Linked DNA regions of Ovis aries. The protein of the gene in region 1 binds, or shares a complex with, the protein of each later gene. Links are inferred from orthologs where the notes say so. Each region holds a gene or a part of one and is shown on either strand. Other genes may lie near its edges.

Evidence for each region. Proteins that work in one complex are often made in the same cells at the same time.
Region 2: PHF20 (region 1) and KANSL2 share a complex: the UniProt entries of both Homo sapiens proteins name them as parts of the NSL complex. The link is inferred for Ovis aries from reciprocal best matches to the Homo sapiens genes PHF20 and KANSL2.

What each region holds. Positions count from the first base shown.
Region 1 is NC_056066.1:65,068,276-65,078,604, forward strand, and holds part of PHF20 (PHD finger protein 20), read left to right. Parts: intron 1-4,363; coding exon 4,364-4,763; intron 4,764-6,507; coding exon 6,508-7,038; 3' UTR 7,039-10,329. UniProt on the Homo sapiens protein: Methyllysine-binding protein, component of the MOF histone acetyltransferase protein complex.
Region 2 is NC_056056.1:137,498,465-137,509,392, reverse strand, and holds the start of KANSL2 (KAT8 regulatory NSL complex subunit 2), read right to left. Parts: upstream 5,914-10,928; 5' UTR 5,883-5,913; intron 5,304-5,882; 5' UTR 5,288-5,303; coding exon 5,037-5,287; intron 4,043-5,036; coding exon 3,864-4,042; intron 3,377-3,863; coding exon 3,262-3,376; intron 1-3,261. UniProt on the Homo sapiens protein: Non-catalytic component of the NSL histone acetyltransferase complex, a multiprotein complex that mediates histone H4 acetylation at 'Lys-5'- and 'Lys-8' (H4K5ac and H4K8ac) at transcription start sites and promotes transcription initiation.

The DNA of each region.
Region 1 (10,329 bases):
AGCTGCTGGAACAGACATTGTTGGTAGGCCTGCTCTCTAGCATAATGATCACTCAGTAAATACGTCTGTTGATAGTTTGCTCAGACAAAGAAGTTTTATGCCCTTTGGAGCTGGACTTCTGGTTTTTAATGACTAGAATTTGGAGTGAAATTGAGTGTGAATTTCCTTCTGTGGTTAGATTCTACGTGTCAGATGACCCAAGTTCACGTAAGCTCTGAGAAAGAAATGTAACTCATATGGGGCTTTTGTAATCTGTTCCCACTTTACCAAATAGGGCAGTTGGGCCTTGAGTGGGACAGCCCATCTCCTTGGTTTCCAGGGCTACAATTCAGGTCCCAGCTCCCATCAGGTCCTTGTCCGTATCTCTAACTGCCTCTTCTCAGTGGGTCTGTGAATTTTCCTCTGGTGGTAGCACAGGGTATGGCAGGGATGGAATCCTTAAGCTCTCCCATGAGCCTGCCTATAGAGCACCATTTTAATGAAGTCATCAACAGTGCAAACTCTAGTCCCACACATGCGTTAGAGCCCATGAGCCAGTCCCCGACAAGGTTTCCCTGGTGCTCATTAGTCCTGGAGCCCTCCTGTGCTAGGTGAAGTGGAATGCCAGAGCCTGGAGATGACAGAATGAGGGTCTGCTTCCTCCTGCATTCTGGTGCACGGAGACTCGGCTTCCAGCACTGGCGTGGCAAGAAGTGGTTGAGCAGAGCACATTTGGCAAGAGACTGTGTTGATTTGGGTAAAAGCCAAGCTGCTATAAGAAAGACCAAAAAAATAAAGGCTAAAGCAAAGTGGAATTTTCTTTCTCACATAAAGCAGAGGTAGGCAGGAGCCCAGGCCAGGTAAGTGGCCTTTTGCCATGATTCTAGCTATGGACTTGGGTTCCTTCTGTCTTATTGCTCTGACATCCCATTGGGTTTAATCTCACCTGTCTCACCCAAGAAGTCTCACCTGTACCTCATTTCTGCTCTAACCCCCTGGAGAGGGAACAGATGGTTTCGTGGACACACCTAAATGCAAGAGGCCAGCCAAGTGGCTGTGTTCCCTGCGCAGACCCAGGACTGAGTGTGGAGGTGGGTAACAGAAGGAAAGGATAGTTACTGGGGGAAGTTAGCCATTACTGTGACAGCCCCTGTTTAGGATGTTATGGACTGGGTGTTCCCTTACATTTTATAAAATCAGAAGACTTCATGTAAGCCAGAGGAATTTCTTCTTAATAAGAAGCCAGAAATTGACTGAGACAGATAGAAGGTGCACAGAAACCTCAGATCCTGATTGTACATGTCACGGCATTTCTTTTCATTTGAGGGTTCAATTAGATGTTTTTCTTTCTGCTCAGGGAAATATAAGTGCTCCAACTGGGTCCCATATTCCAGAACCTTGTTCCTTCCGAATTCCTGTTGAGATCCTTCATCTTAGTAGCAGTGACTTTGTACTGAAATTAAAACCTGACTTCTCCAAGCAGTTCAGGAGAGAGCATCAGGAGAGCTTGTTAGTCATTATAGGTAGAAGAGATCATGGGAGATGGGCAGGTGGTTCCTATCTCTGCAAACCTGGATGGTCTCTGCTATCACAGGCGCACAGTCTTCATTCTCAAAAATTTTGTTCCTAAGCAACCCAGTGGATTCATTTTCAGAGGCAAACAGTAAACTGGGTGTAACTTCAGAGTATCTGTTGTCATTTAAAAAGTAATAGGCATGAATGTACATACCTTCTTCATGATCGACAGGGCTTACTGAGAAAGGCCAGGGTTATCAGTAGCTGAGGCTTCAGATCTTAGCCGGGAGGGTGAAAATAGTAGGAGGGAGGAGGCAAAGACTTTTGTGATTTTCATGCAAGAACAGGTTCATACTATGGCTTATGCCCTCCAGGTGAACAGATTTCAGACTACAGTGACTTCCATTTCCTCTGTTGCAATTATGATTTCAGAGGCATGTCTGGGGTCCTGGGGTCCTGGTACAGACTGCAGTACCCTATTGGAGGTGGCCAGGGACCCAGGCTGCCTCGATGCTGGTGGTCTCCTCTCCTGCTTCAGTGGATGGGAGTGGTACTGGGGATTGCTGGAGTGGGAGGGCTGAGTAAGCGTAGTTATAGCCCCTCATGGGCAGAATTTTAGGTTCTGTAAGCCCATTCCATGCTGTCGTAGTTATGATGTATTCCATTTCTTTTGGAAGGCTTCAGGAAGATGTGTGTGTGTGTGTGTTGGTGGTTGTGGAGGGACCTGTATGTGGGAGTTGCTGGTGAGTTCCTGCTGATGTGGCTTCAGTGATTCTCAGCTCAGACTGGTGAGGATAATGTATATAGTTATATTACGGCATAATTCTTTATATGTGTGGAATTGTACCAAGCGTTACAAGATATTTAGGATCCATGAATTCAATGAACTGAGTGCCAGCAGTCCATCTGTGACAATTAGCAGTCGTGACAGTCGGCAGGGTCCCCACGTTTCTGCACATCTGTGAACCAAACACGAGTAGCTCCTGTCTGTCTTCTCACTTGTTGCCTTACTTGGGGAGCCTGGTTTTTCTTCCTCTATCCTTTTTTCCTTTCCTCCTTCATTTCATTTAATGATCAAAGGTTATAATGGAAGTTCTGAGTGGTGAACAAAATGTTAAATGGTGAAGTTTATCTAGAGTAGTGGCTTTTAAACTTCAAAAAATGTACATCCCACAGTAAGAAGTACATTTTTTATCACATGTACAAAACATACTATAATTTCACAAAACACCTCCTCTTAGAATGGTGCAGTCTGGTATTTTTTGTTCTATTTTTCCTTCTATACAAGTGGTTATGAGTCAGTAAATTAAAAGATCTCTTGCGTCAAATCTCAGTGAATAATTATAGTCATACACAGTTTTATGTACACATATACACGTAGGCAGAAATTCTCAGAGGTGTCTGCTGGCCAGAAAGGGAGCAGAGTCCTTCTTTATTTTATTTTATTTTATTTTATTTTATTTTATTTTATTTTTTAAATAATTGCTTGCCCTAATCTAGTGAAAGTGAAGTCGTTCAGTCATGTCCGACTCTTTGCGACCCCATGGACTGTGGCCTACCAGACTCCTCCATCCACAGGATTTTCCAGGCAACAGTACTGGAGTGGGTTGCCATTTCCTTCTCCAGGAGAGTCCTTCTTTAATAACAAATTATCCTCTTTGGAATGGGGAGAACAGACGATTTTTGAAGAATGTTTAGAAACCTTGCTATCGGGACTTCCCCTGGTGGTCCAGTGGCTAGGACCATGTGTTCCCTGTGCAGGGAGCCTGGGTTTGATTCCTGGTCAGGGAACTGGGTCCCACATGCCACAGCTAAATGTCCTGCATGGTGCCACTAAAACCTGGCATAGCCAAGTAATTGTTTTCTTTTTAAGGGGCTTCTCTGGGGGTCCAGTGGTTAAGAACCCACTTTGCAATGCAGGGGATTTGGGTTGGATCCCTGATCCCACATGCCACAGGGCAGCTGAGCCCATGCTCCGCAGCTACGGAGCCTGCACACCACAACTAAAGAGTTGGTGTGCTGCTACCAGAGATACCGAGTGCCACAACTGAGACCTGACACAGCCAGATCAACAGATAAATCTCAGCCAATATTAAAAACAAAACACCGTGTTATTAATGGCTTATGCCTTGGTGACTTTTGGTTACCAGCTTCCTCCTGGGTCATCACTGAAAGTGTTAGTTGCTCAGTTGTGTCCAGTTCTTTGTGACTGCATGGACTACAGCCCACCAGGCTCTTCTGTCCATGGAATCCTCTAGGCAAGAATTCTGGAGTGGGTTGCCATTTCCTTTTCCAGGGGATCTTCCTGACCTAGAACTCAAAACCAGATCTCCCTCATTGCAGGCAGATTTTTCACTGTCTGAGCCACCAGGAAAGCATTCATTGGGTTTGTGTAATTGAGTGCCATGGCATGGCAGCGTTATCATGACTGTTTAGTCCTAAGTTAAGTTTAGTTTTAGTAAGTCACATTTGAAGAGCTCTTTACTGCCAATGAAATACTGGACTTCGGTTCAGATTAATTCACTTAAACTCAGTGGTTGCTGGCAGAGGGTTAGCCAGTTTTGCAGAGGAGGAAATGGGAATGAGGCTGGCAGAATGACTCGGCTCAGCTGTACTGTAATCAGCGGCTGAGCTGAAACGCAGCCAGGTCCTCTGACTCCCAGTCCACTCCTGCTCACTGCGAGTGATCCAGCAAGAGCTTGCCTGGAAGTGGTCTCCTCGGAGGCTGTGAATCTACAGTCCCTCTTGGTGGCTTGCTCCACTTGGCCCAGGTGGGAGGTCTTCCCCCTAGTGTAGGAAGCCCCTGCGGTGGTCCCAGGGGTTAGGGTTAGAAGGGTTAGAGCCCTTTCGGTATTTTCCCTCCCAACAGAAGCCGGGGACATCCTGACCTGCAGCTGTGGTGCCAGCCTTGGAAGCAGCATCTGGCGGAGGGGCGGTCTCATTCCAAACACATCCGTGTCACTGAAGCCAAGAGCAGGGAGGAAGCCCCAAGCTATAGAACTTTGAACGGGGCGATGGAGAAGCCCCTGCCCCTGCCCCCCTCCGTGGAGGAGTCCTATATCACCAGCGAGCACTGCTACCAGAAGCCCCGCACCTACTATCCAGCTGTGGAACAGAAGCTAGTGGTGGAGACCCGGCGCTCTGCCCTCGACGATGCTGTCAACCCCCGCCACGAGAACGGTGATGATTCCCTGTCTCCGCGCTTGGGCTGGCCTCTAGACCAAGACAGGAGCAGAGGGGACAGTGACCTCAAACCCAGTTCCCCAAAGGTACTGGCTCGCTTGTGCTTGTTCTTGTTTGATATCTTGTATCGTCTCCTCCCAGGGCTAAATGTTCAGTAGAAGATGTTTATGATAGAGTTGTGTTTATTTTAAAACTGCATATAAATCTGTTTATCATATTCTTTTTTTGTCTTTTAAAATGAGTACAAAGTCAAAAGAGCCCACTTAAACCCCAAATATCATTGGTTCTAGGAACTGACGGCAAAATGGCAGAGTCAGTGGTGGTGGGGGTGGAGAGGTCGGAGGCAGCCAGAAGAAAAGGGTAATTGACCTGAACTTGACAAATGAAAACAAGTTAGGAAAATGAGGGTTTTTTTTCTTCAGTGCAGTTTATCATTACATCTGGGTGCTAATCCTTAGCAAGAGCAGAGAACGAGTCAAGTGTTTTGTTAGGCGTAAGTTTTTCAGTACAATTCTATGACAACTTTACTTTTAACTGTGCAGCCCTGGCGTAAGAACAATCCATTTTGTCCAAATGTTTGCTGGTTTCATCAGTTTTCCCAAGAGATACTCCCAGGTTCTTGTTACTCACGTCGTTCTCTTCTGGAGCCCTGTGTGTTCTCTTGCCAGTGTTCCCTAGTCTCATTCTTCCCATCCTCAGTTGTCAGTGAGGGTTTGGGTGATGAAAGCTTCCCCACCCTCGTCATACTTAACTGTCACAGACTCCGCTGTGTGGGCTGATATCACCACCCTAAGTCCATCGCTGCCTCTCGCCGAGGGGGAGTAGCCTAGATTAGAAGCCCCTCAGCATTCAGCCTGTGTCCTTGCCAGGGTCTAAGCAGGGCTGGGTAAGGCTGGTGAGGACTGTCTTTGGAGGCAGACCCAGTTTCAGGTCTGGGCGCTGCCACTTGCTGTGTGACTCTGAGCAGGTCCCTTCACCTCCTCAGAGGTGTCTCCTTAGCCCCCTGCCAAGTGAAGCTGGTGATGGTGACCTCTCAGTTTACTGTGCAGCACACCTGTGAAAAGCTCTCAGCACGTGGCTCTGCACACAGTCACTCCTCCATAGATGTTAACTGGAACCTATTTCATTTCCAATCAATGAATGAAGGGTTGCAGTCACAAACCCCAGAAAAAGTTTGTGGTCTTGCAAATTATGCAAATTGCCTAGAGGCACCTGGAACATGATGAAAAAAATCAAGAAGTCCTGGGCCTAAACCAGGCAGGTAGAGTTAAAAATCTCTTTCATGACTGGCAGGTTGACCACAAGCCAGCACTGTGTTTTATTCACATTATCCTATTTGATCCTCATGAACTTTTAAAGTAGGTTTTACTACTTCTTCTTTCCCATGAGGGAATAGAGGCCCAGAGAAGTGAAGTAACTCATCCAGGTGCATGCGTTCAGCAAGACATGGAACTAGGACTTAAAATTTGTTTGTCTACATATGAGCACCCACATACTAACACTCATCCACACTTACCCTGCTCTACTCTGATCCCAGGTTTCAGGAAGCGGTTCTTTGAGGCCTGCTTCAGCCCTTAGGCATTGGCATTCATTGGGAAGCAGTTGGGGAGCCTCCAAGCCAGAGGTCTGCACAGCCCTGAGGCAGTTGTTCTTGGTACGGCAGGCCCGCTTCTGCCTGGTGCCTGAGAGAGGAGGAGGGGGGCGGGGAGGTAGCGATTTGGACTACTCGAACTGCAGCTGGGTTCTCAAATGGGTGCAAACACTCGCTGGTTGGAAAAAGAGGCTGGGAACTGTCTCCATTCGGTAACTTTGATGCTCTTGCATCCCCAGGTGAGGGACTGTGTCTCCAAAAAGGTCTTACCTGAGGAAGCCCCTGCCCGGAAGCTGCTGGACAGAGGTGGAGAGGGGTTGCTGAGTTCCCAGCACCAGTGGCAGTTTAACCTGCTGACACACGTGGAATCCCTTCAGGATGAAGTCACGCACAGGATGGACTCCATTGAGAAGGAGCTGGATGGTAGGGCTCCCTCCTGGTCTCCCTGTCCTTGGCAGGCTCTGTGGGCCAATAGGAAGAGCTGCTTTCTGAACCCTTTGATTTGGGTTTCCAGGGATAGCTATGTTATTGCCTCTTCTATTAGTCCCCTCATCTCCATTCTCCCCTCAAGATGGCCAAGCCTGACTTTCAGTATCGACTGGGCACTTCTAAGGGCTGTGTGCTGTCAGGGGTCCAGCCTCACTCTCCCAGTCCCTTCTGCCCAGGAGAGAGCACAGTGGAACAGCTGGGCTCTGCCTGTGGGCGGTGTGTGTCCTGAGCAGGTCTTTACTGACCGAGTTCTGTGGGGAGCTGATACTTGGATGCTTTGAGCTTTTAGGATGTCTGAGGATTAATCTGAAAACCCCTTCTTTTCAGCCTTTCCTAAAATCTAAAACGAAGCCTTCTCCTCTTTATCAGCAGATATTTTAGAACTTGAGTCACTTATGTTCCCCCCAGATATATCTCCCTGATGTTAAGTTATCAGATGGGCTTGGAGGACTGAAATGTTGATCCCCAGGGTGTTGTCAGTTTGGTTTTTGAAGGCAGACTTCCTCTTTCTTGTTCTCTTATTTCCTAATTATTATTATTATTTCATCTTAGAAAGAAGGCTGATTAAGAAATAAATGTTTCGTTTGCGGATTCTGAGGATAGCTAGGCTATTATTACTATAATTGGGGATGAAATAACTCATAAGAAAAATGCCATGTGTTATGTAAGCAAAGGTCAGAGGGTGTGGGTGAGGTCAGGCTAGAGAAGGACAGCTATCAAGAGGGGAAGCGAGAACAGGAAGGCTTCCTGGAGCTCCAGGGACTGAAGTGGAGCCTTGGAGAGAGCTGTGTTTCTTGCTACAGGAGGGGTGACTGAGGCAGGATGCTAAGAGGTGGCTGACTGGGAAAGGGATGGCCCTGTTGGAGGACAAAGACTAATGTGCCCACACGCTTCCTGGCCTGCCCCAGAGGCAAACCTGCTGAACTGGGGACGGCAGGCCAGTCCAGGGTCCATTGTGAGGGTGTTGCTGAAAGCTAGAGTGTTTCTCTCTCTCTTTACTCCTAAAAGGTTTCCTTGAGCTCCTTAGAACTATAACAGATACCAGGTCTATGGAAAACCTTGCTGGTAGAAAGCTGAAAGAGTGTCCAATGATGGACTGAAAATTGTGGAATTGACTCTGGGTCCCCAAGAAGAAGCTCAGGCACCGTAGAAACAGGACAAAGGTTCTGTTGTTGCCAAAGGAAGCGGCCCCAGGGGAGAGGCCAGAGCCTACCTACTTAATCACTGATGTACCCCCTCCCTCCCGGCTTGGGCTGCTCCAGCCCTGAGCTCACTGAGAGGACAGTGTGGCCAGGCCAGGATGAGAAGCCTGAGCTCCCTTCTCTGGGCTTTCAGAGGGCTCTTTATGTGTCTTACTCATTTGGGGCCACATACTCCGTCTTGTATTCTTCAATTCCAGGCCCTGAGAGGTACCGGAAGCAAGAAAATCAATTTTAAGTTTAAAGATTTTACTCACGTAAACCGATTTTGCGTTGTATTTAAGATTCTTCAAAATCCCATTTTATTTCTACTATCTTCATTTCATCTAAATACCTCAAGATGAACTGAGCTTTTATAGGAATTTGTATATAATATTTCTTTTTAAAAATCTAATAAGCCGTTATATTGACTGATTACACTTTAACAAATGTCATTGTTTGAGTATTTAACCATTATTTAATAACTTATGTAGTGTGTGAACAGTCTTATAAAACTAAAAGATAAAGATATTTAATGAGCATGAAAACAATATTTTAGCATTAGATTTTTTTTTTTTAATGTTATCTTATCTAGACAGTCTCTATCTAGATGGTATGGGGGAATATGTTTGAAATGAAACTTTATTCTTATAACCTTCTGCCTTGGTTGCAGTCATATACCATTGAGCTTCCTTAAAAGAAAAACTTGGGGTTATGGACCAGCACCTGGTGTGGAGAGAAGGCCAGCAGGCTAGATGCTGGGGTCCAGAGGAGGTGCTGTTGGCTCCCACAGTTATGTGTCTGGTCTTCATTTCTGCATATCTAGAGAGAAGACTTCCCCCTTAGCAGCTCCAAACACTCCTCCTAACCAAGTTCATAGACTATGAGTGGCCTAGACCATGGGTCCCCAACCTCTGGGCCTCAGACTGGTGGTACCTCCTGTCAGATCAGGGCAGCATTAGATTTGAAATAGTGTACAATAAGTGTAATGCGCTTAAATCATCCTGAAATCTGCCCCCCTCACCACCCCTGTCCATGGAAAAATTGTATTCCACCAAGCTGGTCCCTGGTGCCAAAAGTTTGGGGACCTCTGGGCTAGACTCTTCTAGTCTGCACACTGATTGTTTCTTTCTCCCTGTGTGTGCCTACTGGGTCACCAAGGTGTCGGGGGACACCTTGGGTGAGCCTGAACCAGATCTGAGGTAGTTCTAGTGGCTTTAGCAGGGGCCTCTCAGCAATTGTGAGCTTCCCAGGTGTCTTAGTGGTAAAGAACCTGCTTGCCAGTGTAGGAAGACATAAAAGACATGGATTTTATCCCTGGGTTGGAAAGATTCCCCTGGAGGAGGGTACAGCAACCCACTCCAGTATTCTTGCCTGGAAAATTCCCTGGACAGAGGAGCCTGGTGGACTGCAGTCCATGGGGTCACATAGAGTCAGACACAACAGCAGCTGAGTGCACACACACAGGCTCAGCACTTGCGATGGCTTCTCTTGTTGCGGAGCAGGGGCTCTAGGGTGCTGGGGTTTTAGTAGCTGCAGCGTGTGGGCGCTGTTGTGGCTCCAAGCTCTAGAGCACAGCCAGTAGTTGTGGCACGCAGCCTTAGCTGCCCTGTGGCATGTAGGATTTTCCTGAACCAGGGATGGAACTGGGATCCCCTGCACTGCACGGTAAATTCTCAATCACTGCACCACCAGGGCAGCCCCATCCTATTATTTTAAATTACAAACCAGGATAAGTGCTCCAAAGGAGAGCAAGTGATAGCATAGCACCTGTGACTCAAGGACCGGACTCAGGTTATAGAGGGGGTGGGGTTCCCTGAGAAATAGCTTGCAGGGGACAAAGGGTTTAGAAATGTGGGAAGGAAGATGAAGGACTGGTCTGAAGAGGGCAGAGGAGTATGTGCAAGGCTGCAGACTGCTTGAGGAACAGGCCCTGCATGGTCTTCTTCTTTCTGCACCTCTGGCTTGAGGGTCCAGAAAGTTCTCAGTACAGGTTGGTGCACAGACTAGAAAGACTACAGGCAAGCTGGGGCAAACCTCAGGCCTGCCTGTGGGGGGCGGGGTGGAGGTGGCTCTTGTTAAAGAATCAGGGTTCCTGGATGACCTCTCCCCAAACGCCAGAGCTTAAGGGAGTGGCTTGGGAAAGAATAAATGTCTTTCTATAGAAAAATCATACTCTCAGAAGCAAGACAGCTTTTTAGATATTGAGCTAATGATAATCAACTGGTTATTACCTGGTTGTGCTCAGTAGTGTCCAGCTCTTTGTGACCCCATAGACTATAGCCCGCCAAACTCCTGTCCATGGGATTTCCCAGGCAAGCATAGTGGAGTGGGTTGCTATTTCCTCCTCTAGGTGATCTGCCCGACCCAAAGAGCAAACCTGCATCTCCTTTG
Region 2 (10,928 bases), on another chromosome or scaffold:
GGATAAGAAGGCACAACAATAAGACCCAAGCTTAAAAGGAGCAAAGAGTAAAGGTTAGACTTAGGTTTGCTATTCAACAAGCAGTCAGTGCTAAGATAATCACCTTACTAAATAAAAATGTTTTCACAGAATTTTATTATTGTCATTAAAAAACAAACTACCCAAGAATGGATACTAATGTATGATCTCAAAATGTGGATAAGGAAAAACATTTCATTATGCTCTCCAGTTATTTCCATTATGTTTAAACAGGAGTAAAGATACAGAACACTCAAAACTTCTATTAATCTAGTCTTGTTCCCTTTAATAATTTAATACAGAAAAAATCACTTACCAGTAAATTAAAGTGTTAATTTAGTAGCATGTATCTCAATATATTTTAATTAAAGTACAAAAGATCACAAACAATTACAACTTCTAATTTAAAAGTACACTTTTAATTGGTGGTCCAGTGGTTAGGGTTCTACGCTCTCACTGCTGAAAGGCCTGGAATCAATCCCTGTTCAGGCAACTAAGATCCCATAAGCCACAAAGCATAGCCAAAAATAAATAAATAAAAATAAGCTACACTTGTATTTCGGAGTTTATACCAGCCCTCAAAACACTGATCCCAATGGCTAGTCAATGTCCTCAGCTCATTCTCTTGACAATATTCTGAAAATATAGTACCCTGGAGAAACCCTTAATTGCCAAAGACCTAGATCAACTTTATTAAGCTTTGCCACCAACTATGAATTAACAAAACTTAAAAAAAAAAAACCTTATTCTAGAAAAGAAAAACAGCTAGATATATACCTTGACTTGATACTCTCCTACTTTGATCTAGTAAAAATTATTTCTATTATTTAAAAGGCAAAATATACATGAACTATATACTAATTTTAAATCCAAAAAGTATGTGCTCTTTAAAATTTAACTCTTAAATCACTGAAATACACAGAATAAAACTATTAACTTTAGGACTGAGAGCAAATAATCTCTGCCAAAAACTTTTCTTATATATAAACAGGAGATAATACCTGTGTATAAGAAAAGTACAACTACAAAGTACTCTGAAATTATAAAAACAGCAAAATCTAAGATTCAGAAAATGTGAAAATTTCAAAACTATCTAATGTTTAAACAAGGTGATGAGGTTATTCATATTCAAGAAAATGGGGCATATCTGCATTAATGCCTGAATCCCTAAAATATTGAGGCCTTAACCTAACATCATTTGTTAGAATGAAATTAATTTCATTGTACCCTCAGAAGAGAATTTAACTGGGGACTACAATTTACAACAAATCATTTGGGGAGGCAGATGAGCATCCTAACTAAGGTAAATGCCTACTGCTGCTGCTAAGTCGCTTCAGTCGTGTCCGACTCTGTGCGACCCTATAGACAGAAGCCCACCAGGCTCCCCCGTCCCTGGGATTCTCCAGGCAAGAACACTGGAGTGGGTTGCCATTTCCTTCTCCAATGCATGAAGGTGAAAAGGGAAAGGAAAGTCACTCAGTCGTGTCTGACTCTTAGCGACTCCATGGACTGCAGCCTACCAGGCTCCTCCGTCCATGGGATTTTCCAGGCAAGAGTACTGGAGCGGGGTGCCATTGCCTTCTCCGAGGTAAATGCCTATCATGTGACAAATGCGTCATTTATTTAAAGATAGAGCCACAAATATTCATAGCTAGTTTTAATTTTAAAAATCATGTACTAACTCTTCTTGCTCTGATACGCACAACTATAAGTCTAGGTTTATTATTAGACCAATTTCAAAAAAGGGAATCACTTATTATATTGTGTTAAATTGTTTTTGCCCTTTGTTCCTTTCAGGGGAAACTGACATCTAGCCCTTTTACCACTTATTATTTCTCATAAAATTAACTGGTATTTTGTTTCATGTAACAATCTCCTGTAAGGGCTTCCCTCCTAGCTCAGTCGGTAAACAATCTGCCTGCAATGCAGGAGATCCAGTATTCGTGCCTGAAGAATTCCACGGACAGAGGAACTTGGCGGGCTACAGTCCATGGGGTCGCAAGAGTTGGACACGACTTAGCGACTAAACCACCGATCTCCTGTATGTAAGTCAGGTTAGCGTAAATGTAGATCAGTGAAGACTGACCCACTCTAGATTAGCAGAGACAAAATAAAGTTTCTGGACCTTACAAACTGAGTGTTTACCACACCCAAAGACAATCACTTAAACAATCAAGTATGGCATTTCCAGAAGCACAATGTAACTATATAAATTACATCTATATCCACATCCATATATATATATATATAATATCTATATCTATCTATCTATCTGTGGCTTAGTATAAAGTTTCTACTGTGAAAATATCCTGCTAGAAACAAGCATTTCTTCTCAAACTACTTACATGGACTTTCCAAACAAGTAGTTCCTGAATAGCTCTCTAAATTCAGATTACTTAAAATAGATGAAACTATTCTACTCAGAAAATAGAACCCTAAATGACTTCTTATAAAGTTCAGAATCCAAGGAATGAAGAAGATGCTATTCTAAGAATTTGTCAAACACAGTCAAGTCTAGAAATGCATCACCCCTCCCACTATTTAAGAGTTCTTCCACCTAAACTGTCAGCGGGAAGTATCAAGAGATAGAAGTCAGGAAAAAACAAAAACTAAACCCAAACTATGAGACACAGAAACATTAGACTTCTGGGTGGCAATGTTCTGTAACTCCAAAGCGATCGTGGGTTAGGTAAAGAGCAGAACCTTAGTAAGATGTAATTAGGACAATTACTCCTAGGTTTCTAAATCAGTTTCTCTTTCTTAGGCATGAAACCAAAGGAAGCTCTTAAACACCTTTTAATTTTTCTTAAACATATAAAGGTAAATAAAATATAAATTAATCAGAACTTTGGGGGTAAAAAAGTTGTTACTCAAATATAATCAGTTTTTCATTCCTGAGGTTTAAGTCAAGCACAAATTTTCATCACTCTTCTCTGATCTCTACCCACCTCTCAACTCCTATGTCCAATAAATCTATTTCCCCCCTGCATTTTCTCACATGTAGAATTTGATATCCAAAAATTTTCCCAAATTACAAGACTTCTAAAAAAAGAATTGACTCCTACTCTGAGGCAAGATGGTGATGAATAATGACACTTCAATATGCAGAAGCTATTACTGCTCACAAATAGCTAAGCTATCTTCAACCCTCCTAGCTTATTAATCTATTAACAGCATGCAGTACTACAATCCACATACTACCTTCTAAAATATGTTAAAGCCCTATGTGGAGTTACAACTTACTTTAGGGGATCTTCTTGATCACTGTCTATGCTATCAGCTTCACTGTCAGGGTCACCTCTCCATGTCTGATCCACAGTAATGGGTTCCTGCTCCCCATCACTCCAGCTGTCTTCATCTGAGGCAAGGAAGGGAGAGCAGCCATTAAGACTTCCCACCTCTGTAACTCCACCACACAAAACTAGATTACTTAACACACCAATCCAAATCTTAAAATTAAAAATGCTTAATACAGAAGCACTGGCAAAGAAATATACTTCCTGAGTATAAGTACTTATAACACAAATGAGTTAACCATAGCCTCAAAAAGACAGAAAGGTCAACTCAAAATTATTCTGTTTCCTGAAATTATCTTACCTAACAAAGTAAAGTATAAAAACAGCACTGAAAGAGTCATAAACTCAGGATAAAGTAAACCTAAGCACACACTAATTAAAACCAAAAAGACTGGTGAACAGCAGCAGTCCTGAATTCTCCCAAACTGGCAATGAATTAATAATAATATTGTACTTTCAAGTGCCACATATGTTCAAGGCATTGAGATAAACCAAAGTTCTTTGTTAACTTTCTTCCTGTTTTTTCATTATGAGAAAGAAGATCCTCACCCAGAATTCGGCTGGCTTCACTGCGGCTACTTTCTGGAGTCTGAGACCCCAGCTCTGTCTTAGCGTACGAGCTCAGCTGGCACAAGAGTGTTTCACCCACAGGCCCTGGATTAGTCTTTTTCATTTGCGCATGAAGTGCCAGGGCGTTTCTCCGAGCATGTTCAGCACAGAAGGATACCCTAAGGAGACAAAATATTAACGTTTCATACTCATGCTCCCTCTTACAAGAGTTCAGTGATTTCCACAGACAGTGATCTTTAGATCATTTTCAGGCAATCAAAATGACTATTATCTTCATTTATAGACTAAAAATGCTAGTGAGGCAGAGTAATTTAACGGGCAAGGTCAACTCATTTGGTATTACTGAAGGGAAATGCAGGTTAACATATTCCAGTGATCTATCCATCTAAGGAAATATTCCAACTATAAAAATGCTGGTATCATTTTGCAACAAGTCACACTGATCCACTTTCATCTCTCAAAATTGGTTCTGGGAGGCAATTTTACATTTTATAACACTTCAAAATCAATCCATTGTAGGTAGTAAGATGTGGGACACAATGCAGAATTATCTAGCCAAATTATTTGTGCATGGATAGTTTAAATGATGAAATCTTTTCCTAAAAAAAATACACATGTATACAATTTTGCATTACCTAAGATTCAAGGACAGCCAAAAGAGCCATGGAACCTAGGCTTAAGAATTTATTTTACAGGGCTTCCCTGGTGGCTCAGCTGGTAAAGAATCTGCCTGCAATGCCGCAGACCTGGGTTCGATCCCTGGGTTGGGAAGATCCCTTCGAGAAGGGAAAGGCTTACCCACTCTAGTATCCTGGCCTGGAAAATCCCATGGACTGTATGGTCCACGGGGTCGCAGAGTGGGACACGACTGAGAAACCTTCACAAGGTAAAATTGCCAAAGAGATAATAAAACGGCCCAACTAGGAGATGTCTCTTCGTTTTCACCATTTTAAAAAATTTTCCAAGGATATACCCGTAACTTCAATTTTACAAACACGTGGCCTAAAAAACTTGGCGACTTTTTCCAAGGCCACATCCTGGCACATCTTCCTCTCACTTAAAAACTAAAAGTACATACGACAGTATCTATCTATCTGTCTGTCTGTCTGTCTGTCTCTCTCTCTCTATATATATATATATACACACACATACCCATCTTTCTTCTCAGGCTTTGGGGCAGCACTGGGACATCTTTTTCCGTTCTTCGTCGATATATAACTACACTGCTTGAAAGGCGCATTCTTGTCTTCAAGGATATGCTTAATGCAAAATTCCTGCCCCTCCAGACGAGGTTGCGAACATGGACGATGAGTAAACGAACAAGACAGGGGCTCCTGAGATCTGGGCACTGGGGTGATCCTCCCCCGATTGGTCGGCAAGACGTGAATCCGAATCCTGTTCATACCAAAACCTGCAGGGCTGCACAAAGATCAAAAAGCCTTTAACCTTCCCGAAAAGCCCAGCTCCACAATACCCGGGCAGACTGCGCGCGGCTTCTAAAACGCCAGGCCGAAGTCACGCTCCTTAACTGCCTTCCGCCCAAGTCTACCAAGATATTACTGAATTTGCCTCATCTCAACTTCTCTGTCCAAGCCCTCCCCCAACTCCGACCACAGCCACGTTGAAAGTATCTCAAGGGCTCGCACGGTCGCCACACGAGGGAGAAGCAGCAAGAGGCGGAAGCGCCAGCTCCTGCCGCACGCCGCGGCGCAACGCCGCAGACCCACCCGCCCCACCCCTGGCCTCCGCCTCCTCGCATGCCGCCTTTGTCCCGGCCCGCCTCAAAGCTGAACGCTGGGCCCTGCCCATCCTCGGAGGCCAGTGCAAGCGCCATTTTGTCCTAAGACTCCAAGCACAGGCGAATCTGGGTCCTGGAAGCCAAGAGGAGTAAAGCGCCCCTGACGCTGACTGAGACAGAGTAGCAGCTCGGAACAAACAGAAGGGGCGAAGCAGCAGCCTAACTCCAAAACCGAGGAGCAAGCACAGCCGCCATCTTACCTCTGCCGCTGAGCCGCGCCACTCGCTTTCTGGCAGCGCCAGCCACTTCTAACCATGCCTTTCCGGGCTCCCAGCCACTGATTGGATACTGAGCCTACGACTCTGTGTCACCATTGGCTATCTATAGAGTTCAGGGGGCGGGGCGCTGGGAAACGGCGAGGCTGGGTGGCTAGATGAGGTGTCTGTCAGCAACTCAGCTCTGGAGAGAGTGAGGCGGAGGGAGCGTGGGTTGTGGGTCGGCGGGGACAGCTCTTTACATTTCCGACCGTAGCTGATGTCCAGGCGGATTTGGGGCGCTCTGTGTGTGATCTTAGGCTGCAGCTATTTCACCACCCCTACATAGTCGGTACAACAAAATCGACATGTAGAGGCCAAAGAATCACTGTACATTTGACTCTCATTGTCTATACAGGAAAAGGCTTTAGTTTTTTTTCGTGAACACTTCATTTGTGGAAACATTTTTTTCAAGTATTTACTGAGCCTAGGAAATTACACATATAAACTTTTAATTTTCAGAACCCTAAGAAGTTAGAAACTACGAATAGAACGGGCCCATATCTAGTAAATAGGGCGAGGTGAATTTGAACCCAGCCTTTATTCTGAGTTTCCCCAGTGGCTCAGACGGTAGAGAATCCACATTAAGTGTAGGATACCCGGATTCCATCCCTGGGTCCGGAAGATCCTCTGGAGAAAGGAAAGCCAAGCCACTGAAGTATTCTTGCCTGGAGAATCCCATGGACAAGAGGAGCCTGGCTGAGAGGGGGAGCAAAGAGTGGCACACAACTGAGTGACTAACTCATTCTTTACCCCTTTCTTCTCTCGTGAAGTGCATTGGACTGAGAGGGCTTCCCAGATGGCTCAGATGGTAAAAGTGTCTGCCAGCAATGCGGGAGGCCCAGACTCGATCCCTAGGTCGGGAAGATCCCAGTATTCTTGCCTGGAAAATTCCATGGACAGAGGAGCCTGGTAGGCTATAGTCCACGGGGTCTCAGAGTCTGACACGACTAAGGGAGTTCACTTTCACTTTTTTTCACTTTTTGGACTGAGAAAATTGAGTTCTAAGAAAATTGAGTAAATGAGTTCTAGTTGCGGCCTTGCTTCTCTACAATTCCATGCTAAATAACGCAGGTATATAGAATGGCAGATAAATCCCAATCTTATAATCCTTTAAGGAATTTTTAGTTAAAAGCATTTCATCTCACCAGGACTGTGTTACATACATAAGCAAACACTCCAACCCTCAGAAGTACAGAGATTTGTTATAAACATCCTATAATTTAAAACTAGTAGAGGCAGTCACATTACAGAAAACATGGGAATCTTCAACCAAATGCAGTGATATCAAAAAGGAAAATTAAAACTACTATAGAGAACAATGTAAAGAGGCATTAGGGACTAGGTAGAGATGCAACAAAGGCTTTAATTAGGGAGTCTAGAGAAGGCCTTAGTTGTGGGAGCCGGGGAATGCTGTGAAATCCTACTAAACTTGAGAAGACAAAATATGCTATTTAGAACCACTTCTAAGTTGAGGAGGGATAGAGATTATTAAATGATCAAGATATTGGCAAATTCTTTCTGCTTTTTATCAAAGTAGATGGCTGTTTTTAATCCGAGGAGAACTTTGTTAGCTACTGAACAGGTTCAAGTAGACCTGAGGCTGTTCATAGAGGTTAGGAAAGATGAATTGAAGGGTATTTTTAATTTGGAGTTTTGGGGGCTAATCCTAGAGGAAGTGAGCGTTGGAGGGGGAGGAGGATAAATGAGTGCTAAAATCCTGTACTTTTTATAGTCACTCTCATCTATTTTCCTCCAGCTTATCAGGCCAAACACTGGAAGTCATCCTTGATTTCTCTTCAAACCTGGTAAGTCACTTCAGTCATGTTCGACTCTATGCAACCCCATAGACAGCAGCCCACCAGGCTCCCCCATCCCTGGGATTCTCCAGGCAAGAACAGTGGAGTGGGTTGCCATGTCCTTCTCCATACAGCAGATCCTACCGGCTCCAATTTCAAGATATGTACTTCTTGTTACCTTCAGCACTTCCAACCTGGTCCAAGCCACTTTCATCCTGTACCTTAATTACTGTGAGTGTCCTTACCTTTGACTTCCTGTAGTCCACTTTCAACACAGCAGCCAAATGAATATTTTGGGGGTGGGGTGGGGATCCACGCCTCACAGCTTCCAGCAGCTCACAATCTTAGTTCCCTGACCTGAGACTGAACCTGGACCCTTGGCAGTGAAAGTCCTAACCGTTGCACCACCAGGGAATTCCCCATCAAATGAATACTTTAAAACCCAAGCTAGATCATGTCACCTCTCAACACTTGTCAATAGCGCTCCATTTCACTGTCTTTATAATGGCTTACAAGGCCCTACTTTATCTAGTCTTCTGCTGCTTCTATAACCACATTATCCTACTACTTACCATCTTCCTCAGTCAATTCTGTAACTAGCCCCACTGGCCTCTGCTCTTTCTCAAACATGCCACTATCTTCTCACCTCACAAACTTTGCAACATAGAATCATCTTACAAATATTCCTGTGGCTTGCTCTCACCTCTTCAGGTCTTTGATGAACTGTAATTTCATAAGGCCTTCCTCCCTAGCCATCTTATTTCCAATTTCAACAATCTTACCCACACATATGAAATCCCTCTCCTTCCCTGCTTTACATTCTCCAAAGTACTTATCATCTAGCATGTTTTGTCTCTTCAACTAGAATGTAAGTTGTATGAGGGCAAGATGCTTGCTTTGTTTACTGCCATCAGTAAATGGTATATAGTACTCAGTAAATACTATATTCTAACTAAGGAATAAATGAAAAGCAAGGGAGTGCCTAAAACTACTTTCCAGAAAAGATGTAATCTAGCTTTCAGTTTTAACTTGTTTTCATCACTGGGGTTCTTTGGTTTTGAGTGTTATGTGAATCAAGAAAAGGGTCAAGATTCCACAGTGCAAAAAAGGTAGCACAAGACAAGTGACAATCCACAAACTGAATGAATTCAACAGAAGTAGCCCCAGAGCTAGAGATTACAATAAATACAAGCCTCTAAGGGAATCCACAGAAGTCATAGAGAGGGCTTCAGACTTTCTACAGAATGTTGAATGATAGAGATCAAGCCAATCTTACTGGTTTTCAAAAGCATCAGAGACCAGGATGATTTAGGCACTGAACCCTAACCCTATACCAGTTAGTTTAACAAACCTCTGTAACTAGGGATCCAGCTGTTTGGAACTTTATATTGATTTATACCTCATCTATTCCCAAGGATGAAACAGCTGATATCTAACAAAAGCAAATCACTAAATGTATGACTTTATAATAAATTTATATCCATTCTCACACTGTTCATTTACTACTTCTCTGTTCTTCCATTTAAGTCAGACCAATATTCCTAAAATATCAGTAACTTTATCACTAAAGTTTTAGGAGGGGCACCACCAACAAAAATGTTCTTGTAGTATTTCAGAAAATGGAAGAAGAAATGCACAGAACTCGATTTTTTTTTAAAAGAAGTGTTTAACACTGTTAAATTTATCTTTCCTTTTAGAGCTTTTAAACTAGAGCTACTTCTAACTTTTTAAAAAAAATAATTTTAAGCATTATAGCCTAAAAATTCTTTCCATTTAAATGTATAATTTACAAGAATTACCTTGTGTGTGTGACTTTATTATTTCCCAGGAAAAGGGTGAGTATTCACTATCAGAGGCTATTAATTTTTTTTCTTATTAAAAGCACTGCTGTCTATACCAACATTTCAGATTTTTTCAAAGAACCAAATATACAAGTATGAATCACTGAGAGTGCTCACTAAATAAGCAGTACATGTTGCTATCTTCTGTTAGAGCTGTCTGTTTCTCTGTGTGCCAGGCATCCTTCCAGGTATCCACATGACAGTGTAGAATGAGGGCTTTCTCCCCTCAGCCACATCATACTTACACTGTTAGCTTCCCTGTGATGATCAAATCTTAGGTATTCCCACTGAACTCAATTCCCACAGGATCCTGTGCAGTAAGAAAGTACATACTATACTACCAAAACTAAGACAACTATTATTGTATCAATGAAATGACAGGTAAAGACTAACTTGAAGACTCAGCACACATAAATGATCATCAGATGAGTGTTTAACATTTATTGATGGGATGGATAAATACAGATTGAGAAACATACTTGACAGCAAAATATCAAATTGATAGCCAGACTATAAAATGTATACAATGTACTTTTTTAATTTTTAAAAACATTTTTTAAAATTTTTTACAAAGAGCCCTTACTGTAATGGTCACTTACGTCTTATCATTCACGTAACAGCAGTAGAGATCCCAGGAGTAGCATCCAGAACTGAGGTGCCCCAAGGAAGACAGAGGCAAGAGCAGAATAATATGCTGAGAAAGGACTCTTAAGAGCAATACAAAAAAAAAAAAAAGACAAAAATATCACCACAAAATTGTACCTGAGTGACATAGATTGGTAAAGTGTTTCATTTTTTTTTTCCTTCTTTGCTCTTTGGTCTGATAAGAAAACAGTTTTAGGTGTGGGGAGTAGGGTGAGGAGGTGGTCAGTTTCAAATCCAGAAACCTAGGTTAACACTAAGTCAAGTCAGCTGCATTCTTTTGTGTGCTTAACCCAGCCAGCACTTCCATCTTGTAACCAAATCCAATGTGATCAACCACTAATCAGTTAAGGCCTCAGCTTTCAACTGAAGAGTTCCTGATAACTTGATGGAGACATACTTGCTCTGGCTTCAATTAGCATGCTGTCAAGCATCCCTCTCCATGCTTAATATGGCAACAGAAAACTCAAGTCTTTCTCTTCTTTTCATTCACCATGAATACACACTTAAAAACAGGAAGAGTAGACACCACTTTTCAGTAAACATTCCTTTAGAGACATTAAAATGGAAGGGTCTCCCACTTAAAAATAATTCTCACTCAAGACCACTCTATCAAGCAGGATTATAGTACCAGGCTTTTTATCCCACATAGGGATAAAGAGATAAAACTTGACAGTGTGATACAACATGAACATTCTTTAAACCAACAG